2 linked regions of the Nothobranchius furzeri genome follow. The protein of the gene in region 2 binds, or shares a complex with, the protein of the main gene of each other region. Links are inferred from orthologs where the notes say so. Each region holds a gene or a part of one and is shown on either strand. Other genes may lie near its edges.

What was found. The genes of interacting proteins can lie anywhere in the genome.
Region 1: gtf2h4 (region 2) and polr2h share a complex: the UniProt entries of both Homo sapiens proteins name them as parts of the TBP-based Pol II pre-initiation complex. The link is inferred for Nothobranchius furzeri from reciprocal best matches to the Homo sapiens genes GTF2H4 and POLR2H.

What each region holds. Positions count from the first base shown.
Region 1 is NC_091748.1:62,881,076-62,889,144, forward strand, and holds polr2h (DNA-directed RNA polymerases I, II, and III subunit RPABC3), read right to left. Parts: upstream 4,708-8,069; 5' UTR 4,535-4,707; intron 4,302-4,534; exon of another isoform or gene 4,247-4,301; 5' UTR 4,235-4,246; coding exon 4,162-4,234; intron 2,225-4,161; coding exon 2,141-2,224; intron 2,054-2,140; coding exon 1,960-2,053; intron 1,866-1,959; coding exon 1,782-1,865; intron 1,623-1,781; coding exon 1,505-1,622; 3' UTR 1,276-1,504; downstream 1-1,275. Other genes in the region: lisH domain-containing protein ARMC9, read left to right, coding at 5,516-5,590, 5,710-5,835, 6,059-6,229, 6,550-6,705, 6,808-6,900. UniProt on the Homo sapiens protein: DNA-dependent RNA polymerase catalyzes the transcription of DNA into RNA using the four ribonucleoside triphosphates as substrates.
Region 2 is NC_091751.1:25,553,909-25,561,863, reverse strand, and holds the start of gtf2h4 (general transcription factor IIH subunit 4), read right to left. Parts: upstream 5,225-7,955; 5' UTR 5,102-5,224; intron 4,586-5,101; 5' UTR 4,584-4,585; coding exon 4,468-4,583; intron 4,401-4,467; coding exon 4,296-4,400; intron 4,188-4,295; coding exon 4,056-4,187; intron 3,959-4,055; coding exon 3,776-3,958; intron 1-3,775. UniProt on the Homo sapiens protein: Component of the general transcription and DNA repair factor IIH (TFIIH) core complex, which is involved in general and transcription-coupled nucleotide excision repair (NER) of damaged DNA and, when complexed to CAK, in RNA transcription by RNA polymerase II.

The DNA of each region.
Region 1 (8,069 bases), on a different chromosome or scaffold from region 2:
ACCACTGTGATGGGATTCGACCAACAGTCATGATCAAATATCAGCATCAGCACTTGGGAGATTACACCCAAAATTTAGTAGTCAGAGGCACTTTTTGCAGTGTTAAGAAATCTCTGACTTGTAAGTTACGAAAGCCATTTGCAACATATTTCTAAAATCATTACTATAGCAACTCCCCATGTTTTGCAGATAACGAGCAAACAAAAGTTAGCATGTTTAAAGTCCACCTCAGGCTTTGCTGAGATGGGTCAATGGAAAAAAACTCCAGAAAATGAATAAAGCAAAATTACAGCTGAAAGCAGCGTTGATCAGACCTCGCTCTGCGCCATGCTGGCCTAGTGTCGCGACCATCCTGCGACCATAAAAGAAAAAAAAAGGGGGGGGTCACAGCTGTCTCGGTCCGTGAGGTCGCTTACAGAAAAACAGCCTCTGGACAAAATGCCCCCATAAATATCTGTAAGTCTCCTGCTCCTTATAGGGGAGTGCTCAACAGCACAAGCTTTCAAGTCAGCTGAAACACTGGCTGAATGCAGTCAAGTAACCTTTGACCTTTGCTAATGTATGAAATGTAATGTGCACAGCTCTGAGCAAAAGTTTTAGGCAGGTATGACAAAATGCAGCAAACAGAATGCTTTCAACAATGGAAGTGTTAATCGTTTATTTTCATCAATCGACATAAAAGAGTTCATGAACAAAAGAGACACGTATCTGGTGTGACCACTCTGCCTTCAAAACAGCATCAGTTGTTCTAGGGACACTTGAACACAGCTGTTTAAGGAACTGGGCTGGTAGGTTGTTCCAGACATCTTGGATAACTAACCACAGATGTTCTGTGGATGTAGGTTTTCTCGCAACCTTCTGTCTCTTCATGTGATCCCAGACACACCCCACTGTGTTAAAATAGGGCTCTGTGGGGGTCAGACCCTCACTTCCAGGACTTCTTGTTCTTTATGCTGAAGATAGTTGTTAAGGTCTTATGCTGGATGTTTGGGGTCATTCACTTAGCATTTTTTTAATTGATAAAAACAACCAATCATTTTATTTCTGAAAGCATTCTTTGTTTATAGCAGTTTTACACCTGCCTAAAACTTTTGCACAGTACTGTCTGTGACGTGTCCCTTTTGTAACTACTGTTTGCTGTGCTTTTGTGCGCCCTGCCTATAGGGACTGCAAATGTAAATTTATATGTGTCACATAATCCAGCATATTTACCTGTATTGATACTTCGATAAAAATTATTTGATGTGCACTGATCCTTCTAAATAAATGAATGAATCATTTTACAAAAGAAATCTTTATTTACAATTTGCATGCATTTAGAAGTTGTAAAAGTTTTTTTTTCATGAAAAATCTTCTCTGTCCTAGAAACAACATTATGGAAAAATAATAATAAAACTAGTCCAGTATTCCATCTGGCAGCTGCTCCAGACCCGAGTATTAGTGATTGTTTCACCATGACTTTGAAACAATCTGTGTGTGTATGTTGGGGGGGGGATTTTTTAGTTCAGAAAGCCAGTTTTTTCATGAGGAGGTAGACTCTGGAGTCTACTTCAAAACCATGAAGATTGTTGGCATCGCCCTGCAGCCTCATGAGGAGGCCTCCATAAGAAACATAAGCAGATCTGAAACATCAAGCAAATCGGTGGAAGCAGATTAACAATACATGTCCGATCTTAAATTCATGATCATTAAAAAAATTATAATTGTTCCTTAACTTCAACACTTAGATCATTTTATTTTATTTGTTGTAAAAATTGTGCAGCAATAAGAAATTTACTCACAGGCGAGTTGCAGCTTCTGTTGAAGTCTCATCTCCTTCAATTTTGTAGACTTTTCCATACATCACATACTCGAACTGGTCCGCTCTATGAATGAAAATGTAAACAGAGAGCCCAAACCTCAAACATCAAAAGATCACACACACTACGAGATGATGGAAGAGTGCAAAAAATGTCTCACCGAGATGGTCGATCATCCTGAGGATTGTACTCTCCATCATCCGGTGTTCCATCTTCATACAAAGTACTGGCAATCACCAGTCTAAACTTGTCACCTTTATAATATGTTATAAGTCAGATTTTTATTGTATTAAGAATTAACTAAATAAGAGTGCCCTCGGTAAAAGGGCTTACGCTCTCACCAAGATCCACAGGATAGATCTGAATGTTCACGTCCAAGATGAGGTCCATCTTAAAAGATTCACTCTCACAGTGCAGACGAGACACTGCAATAGGTGAGAATTTGTCAGTAGATTATAAACATTGTCTGCTGTAGGTTATACAGGTGCTGGCCAGTAAATTAGAATATCATCAAAAGGTTGAAAATATTTCAGTAATTCCATTCAAAACGTGAAACTTGTACATTATATTCATGCAATGCACACAGACCAATGTATTTCCGATGTTTATTACGTTTAATTTTGATATTTATAGGTGACAACCAATGAAAACATCAAATCTGGTATCTCAGAAAATTAGAATATTCTAAAGGCCAATGAAAAAATGTTTGTTTCTCTAATGTTGGCCAACTGAAAAGAATGAACATGAAAAGAATGTGCATGTATAGCACTCAATACTTAGTTGGGGCTCCTTTTGCCTCAATAACTGCAGTAATGCGGCGTGGCATGGACTCGATCAGTCTGTGGCACTGCTCAGGTGTTATGAGAGCCCAGGTTGCTCTGATAGTCGTCTTCAGCTCCTCTGCATTGTTGGGTCTAGCGTATTGCATCCTCCGCTTCACAATACCCCATAGATTTTCTATGGGGTTAAGGTCAGGCGAGTTTGCTGGCCAATCAAGGACAGGGATACCATGGTCCTTGAACCAGGTGCTGGTGGTTTTGGCACTGTGTGCAGGTGCCAAGTCCTGTTGAAAGGTGAAGTCTGCATCCCCATAAAGTTGGTCAGCAGCAGGAAGCATGAAGTGCTCTAAAACTTCCTGGTAGACGGCTGCATTGACCCTGGACCTCAGGAAACAGAGTGGGCCAACACCGGCAGATGACATGGCACCCCACACCATCACTGACGGTGGAAACTTTACACTGGACCTCATGCAACGTGGATTCTGTGCTTCTCCGCTCTTCCTCCAGACTCTGGGTCCTTGATTTCCAAAGGAAATGCAGAACTTGCTTTCATCAGAAAACATAACTTTGGACCACTCAGCATCAGTCCAGTCCTTTTTGTCCTTGGCCCAGGCGAGACGCTTCTTGCGCTGTTTCTTGTTCAAGAGTGGCTTGACACACGGAATGCGACACCTGAATCCCATGTCTTTCATGAGTCTCCTCGTGGTGGTTCTTGAAGCGCTGACTCCAGCTGCAGTCCACTCTTTGTGGATCTCCCCCACATTTTTGAATGGGTTTGTCGTCACAATTCTCTGCAGGGTGCGGTTATCCCTAGAGCTTGTACACTTTTTTCTACCACATTTTATCCGTCCCTTCGCCTGTCTGTTAATGTGCTTGGACACAGAGCTCTGCGAACAGCCAGCTTCTTTAGCAATCACCTTTTGTGTCTTGCCCTCCTTGTGCAAGGTGTCAATGATTGTCTTTTGGACAGCTGTTAAGTCAGAAGTCTTCCCCATGATTGTGGTGCCTTCAAAACAAGACTGAGGGACCTTTTAAAGGCCTTTGCAGGTGTTTTGAGTAAATCAGCTGATTAGAGTGGCAGCAGGTGTCTTCTATATTCAGCCTTTTCAGAATATTCTAATTTTTTGAGATACCAAATTTGGAGTTTTCATTAGTTGTCACTTATGAATATCTAATTTAAATGTAATGAACATTGGAAATACATTGGTCTGTGTGCATTGCATGAATATAATGTACAAGTTTCACGTTTTGAATGGAATTACTGAAATATTTTCAACCTTTTGATGATATTCTAATTTACTGGCCAGCACCTGTATAAACTAAATCCAATAAGCAAGTTGGTTTTTTAACTGCTCTCTTAATGAGCTGAATGTCTTTCAATTTTATATTAGCTTTTAACTTCAGGATGCCAGATTTTCTTTAACATCACTATGTAAAGTCTGCCTTAACGTGGGCAAATAAAAACGTAGAATAAATGATTACTCATGAGTCAATATACCTGTGCATTATGTCAATACGACAAAAACAATATGATGGAATAATTAAATAAGTCACCCCAATACGTTATTGTACTTCATAAGTACCTCTGTCAAACTTCTTGCCATCTGGATCAATGTCTTTCACATCAAAGATATCTTCAAACAAAATTCCAGCCATCGTTGGCCCACTCTGTGAATTTGTGCAGGGGATCAAATGTTTAAGCCCCTGTTATGACTTGAACAACCTGTCAACAAAAAATAAAACGTAATAAACTATAGTAACTTTTAAAAAGCAATGAAACGTTAGGTAGCACAAGAAATCAACTGCTATAAGCATATTACCATAAAATACTTTTATATAAAAATAAGACTAGGACATACGTCAGTTAAAGTTGGCAAGTTTTATCTTCCACGTTGAATCTCCTATTTTGGCTAACAGCTAGCTTTAGCATACTGTTAATTCATTTGTTGCACTTACCCCAAATTATTTTTAGATGTCGTAATGCAAACACAGAAGCCTCGCAACTACTCGATTCTTTAGGACAACAGCGACTGTTCAAAACATAAGCTAGATTTGTTATTTAAGAGTAATTTAATTCATTGCTATCTAGCCAATCTGTGGCGCGCAGAAACAACGTGATTAACCTTTGACACGGGAAGTACTTCTCATAAAACAAAATAAAATGAAAAAATAAATGTTTATGTTAAAAAGCAAAGTAAAACATAAGAAATTGTAAAAATATAATACTCGTACTAAAATAATAGTTTTACCATTAAAATTGCATAATGTATCCTAAAAAAGGTCAACAATTACGTTTGTCTGTGCGTTGTTATAATTTACAATCGTTTACTTTTGTTTTTCTAAATCGCATGCCTCATAACTTAAGGTTATTCAATATATTTTCTTGTAAAATATAATACATTTAGTTAGTTTTAGTTTACGACACTCACATTTACTTTCCGGTGACCCTCTGGTTGCTAGGTATTTTTAGCGTCCCTCCTGTTTGTGGTTGCCAGCTATTTTTTCGTTCACTGTCCGACAAAGCGAGCAAAAATGTACTTTATGGATCTCGTTTACTTGTTAACGCATCACAAACTTGTTTGTACGTCAATTCTCCCAAATCAAATTACGTGCGAATAAGGTAGGAGCCATGTTAATGTCCTGTCGTGTGTCAACTAATTAGATAGCTTGTAGCTTCATAAGTTGTTGCTAATCTTGATGTTAAACCATTTAAGATGGTATAAAACCCCACATGCCTGCCGAAGTTACACTAGCATTCCGTTGTGCGTTTTGGTGTTTGGTTATTTTTACTACTGCTCATAGAATTAAGTTTTTACTTATGTATTTTGCTCTTTTGTTCTTGCACCTTTTAGCTTGAACCCTAGATCTATAAACGTTTTTGAATGAAAGCAGAAATCGTTCCCGTCTAAAGGGGTATTAAATGTTTTCGGTACACACATGAGTTCCAGTGAGGAAGCCAAGATGGGGGACGTCTTGGCAACAGAAGCTGATCTTCTTGGGATGATCAAAGAGGTAGAGAAGATATCTGGGTCACAGCAATATTGATGTTCGCTGAAAATGAATGAAATGCACCAAAACTCAGTGTCATCCTTCACTGTTTAAGTTGAATCATGTTTGTTTGTTTGTTGCAGTACCTCACGTTTGAGGAGTTTGAGGAGACTGTTCAGGTTTTTGACAAGGAATGCAAAAGGAAAGGCAAGCTGGTCTCAAAACCGAGAGGAAATGCTCTAAGAGACTCTAAGACTCGTGTCATTCAGGTAAACAATGCTCTTCTTCAACATGGAAATCTGCTATGTTGGTGTGTTTTCTGTCATAGTGGGGAGACGTTTATGTAGTTCCAGTAATCCTACAAAAGGACGTACACAGCCTAACAAGTATGCAAATGCCAAGATGGTCCAGCTGATTTTGAATATTTACCTGAATATTTTCTCTGAGTTCTTGTTTTGTGCGATTTTCTCCTTCTGAATGTGACGTTTCTAGAAGGACCTTCTTAGCTCATTTGATGACGGAGACCACAAGGTGTTTTTTGAGCTGTGGACAGAGAATATTCCCTCTGAGGTCAAACACACAGACACTGAAGCACAAAGCCTTGAGTTCTACCTCCATATCCACTTTTCCATCTATCCACTGAGAAGACACCCTAATAGACGAGTAAGTATTGGTTTTATTACCAAGAGGAAATCCAAAATACAACCAAATGTGTTGTTTTCAAAGTGTCCACCAAGCTGCGCCACATGCTTTCTCAAAAGTAGTACCCTTGAACAACACTAAATAACAGTAGTTGTCTAACTTACACTATGATGCATAATCCCTTATGTGAACATCATCTTTAGTTAAAATAATTAAGCCACCCTTTAGGAAGGAAAAAAGTCATGTGGCAAAGATGCTTCCTGATTTATTTTGAGCATGTTTGTAGACAGGAAATTTGTCTGACTGATAGTTTAAACATTTAATTTCAAATCGCTTTCCAGGACCAAGCTGAGTTTGAGGAGAGGATTTCCCTCTTTAAGCAGTACCTTGAAACTCGGGGTGCAGCTTTGAGTCAGACCACTGAGTTCTTGCCTTACTACGCTTTGCCTTTTGTTCCCAACCCCACCGTTCACCCGTCCTTCAAAGATCTTTTTCAGGTACTCAGAAATGATTCTTTCTGTATTTTTCGCCCATCAGCGACTGCAACATTCAAACTGAATTTACATTTTTCTTTTGCTTATTAATATTTTTGTGTTTAGGATTCATGGATCCCACAGTTGAAATCTAAGCTGGAGAAATTCCTTTTACAGTCATTAAAATCATCCAAGACACCGAGGCTGCTGACTTTATATGTATCCTTTTATTTTAGACTGACAAATATGTTTTTTTTAAACAAAACGGCTGGCGACTCTGGTAATAACGTGTGAAGAAATGCCAGCAGGGAGCTTCAGGCTGAAAATGATCATGTCATAAAGAAATTATTTCACAGCAGAAATGCAACTAAGCCGGGCTTTCAAAGTTACATAGATAAATCTAAGAATAATTTAAAATGCAAGGCAAACGAACATAATGCACCTAGAGGGTCTTTTGAGAAGGATCAGCTTGCTCATAAAAGCACACGATTGTAATTTCAGTTCACCCACATGTTCTGTAGTTACAACACTCTTCATCATGTGCTGTCTGTGAGCAGTTATACAAGTGTGTGTGTCCATGGGATTGCCAAGTATGTATTTTTTTTTTCATGCAGCTTAAGTCAGTCAATCAATATTTATTTGTTACCAATAGGGGTAAACAAATATATCAGTCAGTCGATATATCTGGTTGATACCATTTTTAAAATACGATTATTGGCCGATATTCCTCCTTAATAAAGCCAATTTAAGTCAGGCACATCCCTGGGCAGCCCAGTGCTGCTGTAGATTTTCATTTAAATGTATATTTGCTTTCCTTAATAGCATCTGCATAACAAATGCTCTAAAAACTGATTCTGTCAACTAAAAATTTTTTTTATTTACCAGTTTTGAATATTTATTAGGTTGTAAGTTCCTTGATATGTCATATTTTCACACTGAGCCCTGCACGAAATTAAGATTTAACAGTTGGTTAAATTCCGCGTTCAAAAACTGATTCAGCTTCAGAAATGTTGTGCATCAGCTGATGTTATTAGTGACATTTTAGCATGAAAATAAGATATCAACCAAGCAAATCAGCTGAACATATCAGCCATTGGCTGACCATGACCTTTACGTTATCGGTATCGGCAATGGAGAAACCACTATCGGTCCACAGGACACCTGTAGCTTAAGTTAGCTAAAGGCTTGCTTCCATCTGTTGGCCTGTTGTACAGTAGCACCCTAAAGGAGGCAAACATCTTAAAAATAACAGTAAAGGTACAATAAAATAATAAAATGGATGCAATAATGTATGATGGAATATTAAACACACTAAAAATTATGGCACAACCTAGTTAAAACCTGCAGTAAAATTGAAGATTTCAGTAGAATAAATAGTAATAAAATGT
Region 2 (7,955 bases):
AACTGAAACTGTGGGCCAGTGTCAGCCTGCTGAACCGTTTCTATTCCTGAGTTCCTGAGAGGTCACGGACTGCTCTGGAACATGTTACATATGTATGCATGTACAACAAATGTGTGATTCAGGGCTCAGGGCAAAGTAGACCCGAACATTACCTTTATAGTACTCAGCTCTCCTCCATCACACCTTCTGTTCTCCTCCTAGGGGATTTCAACATTCACATCGACTCTCCTAAATCTACGCTCACAGCCGACTTCCTGGACATTCTAAACTGCTTCTACCCGACTCAACACATAAACTGCCCCACACACAGACATGGTCACACTCTGGACCTAGTTTGTACTACATAATCAACAACTTTGTTATTACCAATAATAATGTGAGCCCAATGTTCAATCAATCTGTGAAATGACAATGTTATTACTTGATATTATAATCCTGTGATCAGTAGTATTTTACAAGTTAATATAATCTTGGACATTTGCACTAGACACTAATGACACGTAATGCTAAAGTCACACGACACATTTCCTTTTGTCTGACCCAATCAGAACCTTCGTTTCTGGCTAGGCGTGGTTATCTGTGGTGTTTGTATAAACCCTTTTTTGCACGTCAAATTCTGATTCGCCAGTAAACCAAAATATGATAATTATAAAAACTATCCCACGCCACCTTTTCTTTAGTTCAAAGCGTTCTAGAGAAGTCTCGGACCGGCCATCCGGACTTCCTCCTCAGCCATAAAGAACCTCGACAAGCTCTGTTGCAAGTTACACCTGACCGCAACGGTTCCTTCAGAATAAAAGCTGAACCTCACGACCCCTTCAGGGTCTCGGAGATGCCAGTGATAACCTGTCGTGACCTGGAAGCATTCCAAGACTAGTTTGGTCGGCACCGCTGCTTTTCTACCGGCTTCTGTACCAAAGAGGGTCCACGAGGACCTCGACATTCTGGATCTGATCGGAGGCTTCCCCCGGGGTACGCAGACCGACAGATGGCGTTTCATGTGTGTTATAAATCTCCTCCTAAGTTTAGAGCGAAACATTCACTCCCACTCAGACCTAAATGCTTCTCCGGATCCGCTGGTTCTGATAACATTCCACACACACACACACCATCATCATTTCAAGTCTCACTCCACTTTAGTTCCATCAGTACACAGAGTGTTTAAGTTAGTCTTGTTTAAATTGTGTAGAAATAAATTTCTTAACTATTTTAAACCTGACTCTCTCTCTCTTTCCTTAGAGTTAATACGAAGTGTCACTTAATCCCTGCAATAAAAAGTTCTGATCTTCTGGTTAAAATAGTCAAAGATCCATCAGATTGATATTTCATATTTCTAAGGAATCCCACATTTTATGGTTCATAAGTAAGATGTAAACGACCCATCCTTTACACCTGACTTAACCAAGCTCGTCTCATCCATGAAATTCACCACCTGCAATTTAGACCCAATCCCCTCTCCCCTCATCAGAACATGTCTTCCCTCTCTCTCCCCTCTCATTATCGGTATCATAAACACCTCCCTAACCACTGGATCTGTCCCACCTTCACTCAAACTCGCCTTCATTACTCCCATTCTGAAAAAACCCGGTCTGAACCCAGACTCTATGGATGGTTTCAGACCCATCTCTAACCTCCCACTACTCTCAAAGATCCTGGAACGCTCAGTCGCCACTCAACTACAGCAATAACTACAAACCTGCCAACTCTTTGAAACTTCCCAACCCGGCTTCCGTGCTCATCATAGCTTTTGTCATTAGACAAAAGGGGAGGAGGACATTTTTCTTAAGGAGGCGAGCGGCTCCGAGTGCCAACGTGTCAGCAGGTGAGTGGTTGAGCCAGGTGGAGGTGTGGCGAGACTCAGCAAGAGTCCAGTGCAGTGAAGCCACGTAGAACTGCACAGACTACGTCACCCTGTAGCTCAGCCAACAGCTGTGGCTGATTCTAATTCAATGTGGAGCAGAGTTTTAACCTGAAGATGGAGATATCTGCGGTTTTGGGCTGAAATTTTTAATTTACAGTAAGTTGCACTAAACTGCCAAAATAATGAATACACGTGTGTACAGCACTATTAGACACTCATCTGTACAGGTTACCAGTAAAAAACGTTCATTTAGGTGTTACTCGCTCTTTAAAGCAGAAATCCAGTGATATTTACAAAAGGGCACCATCTAGAGGCAGAAAAATGTATTGCACCGTAAGCCCCTCTCGCTACTTCCATGATTACGGCGGAAGCAACGTCTTTTATTCATGAATGTGCACCGCTAGTCGGCCAACAGAGCTTAAACACGTTGTTTTACAATTATTATTTTCACCTTGTGCTGTTTATTAATTCATCTATTTAACATATTCCCATCTCACCCTCCGCGGGTGGTCTCATCCTTCAAAGCTTGTGTCCTCTACCAGAGGTCTGGGAGCTTCAGTGTTCTGCAGTATCTTAGATTTCCTTTGAACTGCACTTTTGTGGACTTGCTCGTCCTCTACCGCCTTATGGATGTTTCCCACTTTAACCTCGGGGCTTCCAGTCCACACTCTGTACACCAGTGGTTCTCAATCCTGGTCCTGGATGGTCGGTATCCAGGGTGTTGTAGTTTTAACCCTGTTTCAACACACCTGATTTCAATCAGCAGGTGATTTACAAGCACCTGCAGAGTCTGGTGAGCTGCTGCACAGGTGATTCAACCACTGAATCAAGTGTGTTGGAGCAGAGAAACCGCTTACCGGCCCTCCAGGACCAGGATTGAGAACCACTGCTGTACACGATGCCAGCCACTTGGTTGTGGCGTTCCATTTAAGTTTTCCCTGCCAGCATCTTATACCCTGCAGTTATGTGGTGGAACGTCTCAGGAGATACTTCAGTTATACACACACACACACACTTTTAAAGACTTACTTGTCCATAAGAAGTATCGCCAACTATGCACCTATCTAAGTCTGTCCTCAAATGTATGTACACCTGTGATAACATCTGTACATGAGCAGATGTCTAACGCTATTGGCTAATGCTGAACTGGCTCTACGGGACGGGGGTGGGCTTATTGTCTATGTTACATTAAAGGCTAAGACGATGAGATGAGTCCTGAGAGTCTGAGTTGTGACGACATGGTCCTGCTTTTCTGACAAGACCTGACCAAAACATCACAACCTGAAGCTCTTACACTTTCGGGTAGGGATGCAACGATACCACTTTTTTCTAAACCGATACGATACCGATACTTGGATCTGAGTACTCGCAGATACCAATTACCGATACCGACACTTCTACCACACAAAAAAATGCAATGATTTGGAATACAGATTTTATTTTCTTCTCTGCTTTCAACAGGAAAAGACTTTGAGGTAGATAAAAAGTAAAATATATGAATAGAAATCATCCCAAAAATAAAATATTAGGTGGACAGAAATGACAAGTTACAGTGAAGCCATTTTCAAGCAACTGCATTGGTATCGGTTCCTGGTATCGGTTAACTTTTACCGATACAGATAATAGTATCGGTATCTGCACCGATACCGATACCAGTATCGGTGCATCCCTACTTTCGGGGAAAGTTTCATGGTAAAAACAATGATAATATTATTAGAATATTATTATAATAGTAACTATAATTATCCAATAAAAAAACTTTATAAAACAAGCTGATGAGATTCGCTTCCCTCTAAATGAGCTACTCTCAGACTTGCATGCATTAAAAAGATTTAAATAAATGTGAATATTTAAAGCAGATACTTTCTAATCTTTTAAAGTTTTACTTAAACCCATAACTTTAATCTAACCTACCTCTTCATCAGGCCTGCTTGAACCAGCAGCTGAGAGAGGTCCTGGCTGACTGCACATGGTGACCCCACCATGAACTGTAGAATGACCTCCCAGCGCTCCATGGCGTAGCGGTCTAGACTTTCTATGTCCCGTGCATGACGATCTGGACCCAGGGCACTCTGCTCTTCAGCCCATGCGGTGCCACTGTTTGATCAAAACAAGTGGTTCACACAAATGGATCAGACTTTTCTGGAAGAGCAGCTTCAGCTCTGCTGAAGCAGGAAGTCCTCAAGCCACTCACCCCCCCAGCAAAGCAGTCCTCAGGTTGTCTTTGAAAACTGGATTTAAAGTGTAACCCTGCAGGCCACCCTGCAGCTGCTGACTGTGCCAGAGACGGAGACCAGTCAGGACAGACACGCACTCATCATGGTCCCTGCAGAAGACACAGAGCTGGAGGAAATCAGAACCCACCTGTGACTGGGTCCCTGTTCAGGCCCACTACAGAGACGTAGGATCAGGAGACACCAGATGAGCAACTGACCTTTGACCGTCCTTTTTCATCCACAGAGCTACGGCTGCCTGGGGAAGTGGCTGATCCAAGAACAGCATGCGTATCACATAGTTCTGGGCTAGCTTGGGAAGTTCCCTGTAGGAGACCAGACAGCGTAGTGAGGAAGAGAAGAGGAGACAAACCCAGACCTGATCAGGCTCACCTGTAGACCGCCAGACAGGTTGCTGGGTGGTTGAAGAGCCGGTCTAGGACATCAGGACTCAGCTCCTTCATGTACTCATGCAGGTTCTTACACTGGAGTTGGACCCGGAGCTTCATACCTGCAACAGAAACCCACTTGAGTTTGTACTGAAGAGAATGGAGCGAGACTAGAACTCCGCCAAGATAACCGCTCCATGACAGAACGTCTTGGCAGCATCCCATAATCTATAAATCCAAAACAGTGATCCAGGATCAGGTGATGAAGGCAAACACACTCCAGTAGACAGGAGTTCCGGTCTGATTATCATGGACAAACTATCTAGCCTGGTAGCTGAAGGTGTCTGAAGTGGAATGTAAACACAAACACCTTGTGTCTGTCTGGCGTGTTGTCTTCGAGTCCCTGACACGTGACTTTGCTTCGTGGGACAGATGCAACAATGGCGTTTTTTAAACAAACGTTTAGCTTTTACAAATTCACATCAGACTCTTAACTGAATCCGCAAAGAGATTCCCCGTTTCTAACAAACACATCGAGGGATTAGGACCACGATGTACACCGGTCCAGAGAGCCGAATCTGAACGGAACTCTGGAAACTAAATCAGCTGTGAGCTTCCTGTTCGGGAAAGACGTTTACCTTCAGCTAGCTGCGGAACACCGTCAGAATCAGAACTCCAAACAGCACCTCGAACGAGACCGGGATACTGGCGTCAAGTGGACATTTTCTGAGACCACGTGACATAGACGCGCGCGTACCTATTGGTCCAGCTTTTCTTCTACGCTTTTATTTTGGTAGCTAGCGAGCAGATTTTTTTTTAATTAGAGAAGATAACATACAGGTGCTGGCCAGTAAATTAGAATATCATCAAAAGGTTGAAAATATTTCAGTAATTCCATTCAAAACGTGAAACTTGTACATTATATTCATGCAATGCACACAGACCAATGTATTTCCCATGTTCATTACATTTAAATTTGATATTCATAAGTGACAACTAATGAAAACTCCAAATTTGGTATCTCAAAAAATTAGAATATTCTGAAAAGGCTGAATATAGAAGACACCTGCTGCCACTCTAATCAGCTGATTTACTCAAAACACCTGCAAAGGCCTTTAAAAGGTCCCTCAGTCTTGTTTTGAAGGCACCACAATCATGGGGAAGACTTCTGACTTAACAGCTGTCCAAAAGACAATCATTGACACCTTGCACAAGGAGGGCAAGACACAAAAGGTGATTGCTAAAGAAGCTGGCTGTTCGCAGAGCTCTGTGTCCAAGCACATTAACAGACAGGCGAAGGGACGGAAAAAATGTGGTAGAAAAAAGTGTACAAGCTCTAGGGATAACCGCACCCTGCAGAGAATTGTGACGACAAACCCATTCAAAAATGTGGGGGAGATCCACAAAGAGTGGACTGCAGCTGGAGTCAGCGCTTCAAGAACCACCACGAGGAGACTCATGAAAGACATGGGATTCAGGTGTCGCATTCCGTGTGTCAAGCCACTCTTGAACAAGAAACAGCGCAAGAAGCGTCTCGCCTGGGCCAAGGACAAAAAGGACTGGACTGATGCTGAGTGGTCCAAAGTTATGTTTTCTGATGAAAGCAAGTTCTGCATTTCCTTTGGAAATCAAGGACCCAGAGTCTGGAGGAAGAGCGGAGAAGCACAGAATCCACGTTGCATGAGGTCCAGTGTAAAGTTTCCACCGTCAGTGATGGTGTGGGGTGCCATGTCATCTGCCGGTGTTGGCCCACTCTGTTTCCTGAGGTCCAGGGTCAATGCAGCCGTCTACCAGGAAGTTTTAGAGCACTTCATGCTTCCTGCTGCTGACCAACTTTATGGGGATGCAGACTTCACCTTTCAACAGGACTTGGCACCTGCACACAGTGCCAAAACCACCGGCACCTGGTTCAAGGACCATGGTATCCCTGTCCTTGATTGGCCAGCAAACTCGCCTGACCTTAACCCCATAGAAAATCTATGGGGTATTGTGAAGCGGAGGATGCAATACGCTAGACCCAACAATGCAGAGGAGCTGAAGACGACTATCAGAGCAACCTGGGCTCTCATAACACCTGAGCAGTGCCACAGACTGATCGAGTCCATGCCACGCCGCATTACTGCAGTTATTGAGGCAAAAGGAGCCCCGACTAAGTATTGAGTGCTATACATGCACATTCTTTTCATGTTCATTCTTTTCAGTTGGCCAACATTAGAGAAACAAACATTTTTTCATTGGCCTTTAGAATATTCTAATTTTCTGAGATACCAGATTTGATGTTTTCATTGGTTGTCACCTATAAATATCAAATTTAAATGTAATGAACATTGGAAATACATTGGTCTGTGTGCATTGCATGAATATAATGTACAAGTTTCACGTTTTGAATGGAATTACTGAAATATTTTCAACCTTTTGATGATATTCTAATTTACTGGCCAGCACCTGTACAAACAAAATGCACCTTACATTATATGTTCAAAAGATAATCATTACTTACATATTAAACATTTTCACGTATATGAAAAAAAAAGAAAATCTAAAGATGGGGTCACATCATTAACAGATTATTAACTTACTAACTCAAAATCTTCTACAAGGAAATAAAAAAAATCAGCCTTTTTCTTTTTAACTAAATTTAAAGATTTAACTAATACTTTTAAGTCGTTTTTCCAATAGGCGAGTGTTGGTTTGGTCTTAAAAATCGACATTTATGTATAAATTGTTTGCACAAAATTAATAACACATTAACACCATAATTAACTTTCTTTTTTTTCAAAAACACTCCAAACATTATCCTATTTAAGGTAAATGGGGCAATTTGAATCCCACTAGAACAAAGCCAGGCATGAAAATCTAACCAAAATATTTGTATAAAATTGCACAAAAAATAGATGGTCTAAGTCCTCCTCTTCTGTTTCACACAATACACAATTACCAGCTTCTATATTGAATCTATTCCCAAGGAGTCTATTTGTTGGGTAAATTTTATTCAAAAATTTAAATTGGACTTCTTTCCCTTTAGGAGGGATAGGGAAGGTGATATAATCACTTCTTATTTTTTCAATTTCTTCCCTTTGGAAATCTTTTAATATGTAATTAGTTCTAAGTAAATTTGGATAAAAAAGATACCTTAATGACGATCTTAGAAGCTTATTATTGCATTTATCATCACAAAATCGAATATCATCTACCGTAAATCCTCCAATACAGGCCGGTATTCAATTAAAGGCCGGGTCTCCAATTTTGGCCGGTGTCGGAGTCGGCGGAGGTGAATAATGGCCGGTCTCTTATTGTGGCCGGGTGGAATGTGGTAACAAGCAAGTACGGGGGCGGTTGTGTCATCGTCTCACTTTTGATTTGCCAGTGATAGACCGCGAGGGTAACTTTAACCGTGCAGAGACGAAGAAGAGGCGAAAATTTGATATCAAGTTCAAAGAGAACGTGCTGATTATGCTGCAGAACACTCTGGGGAGCAGTAGCAGGGGTTGT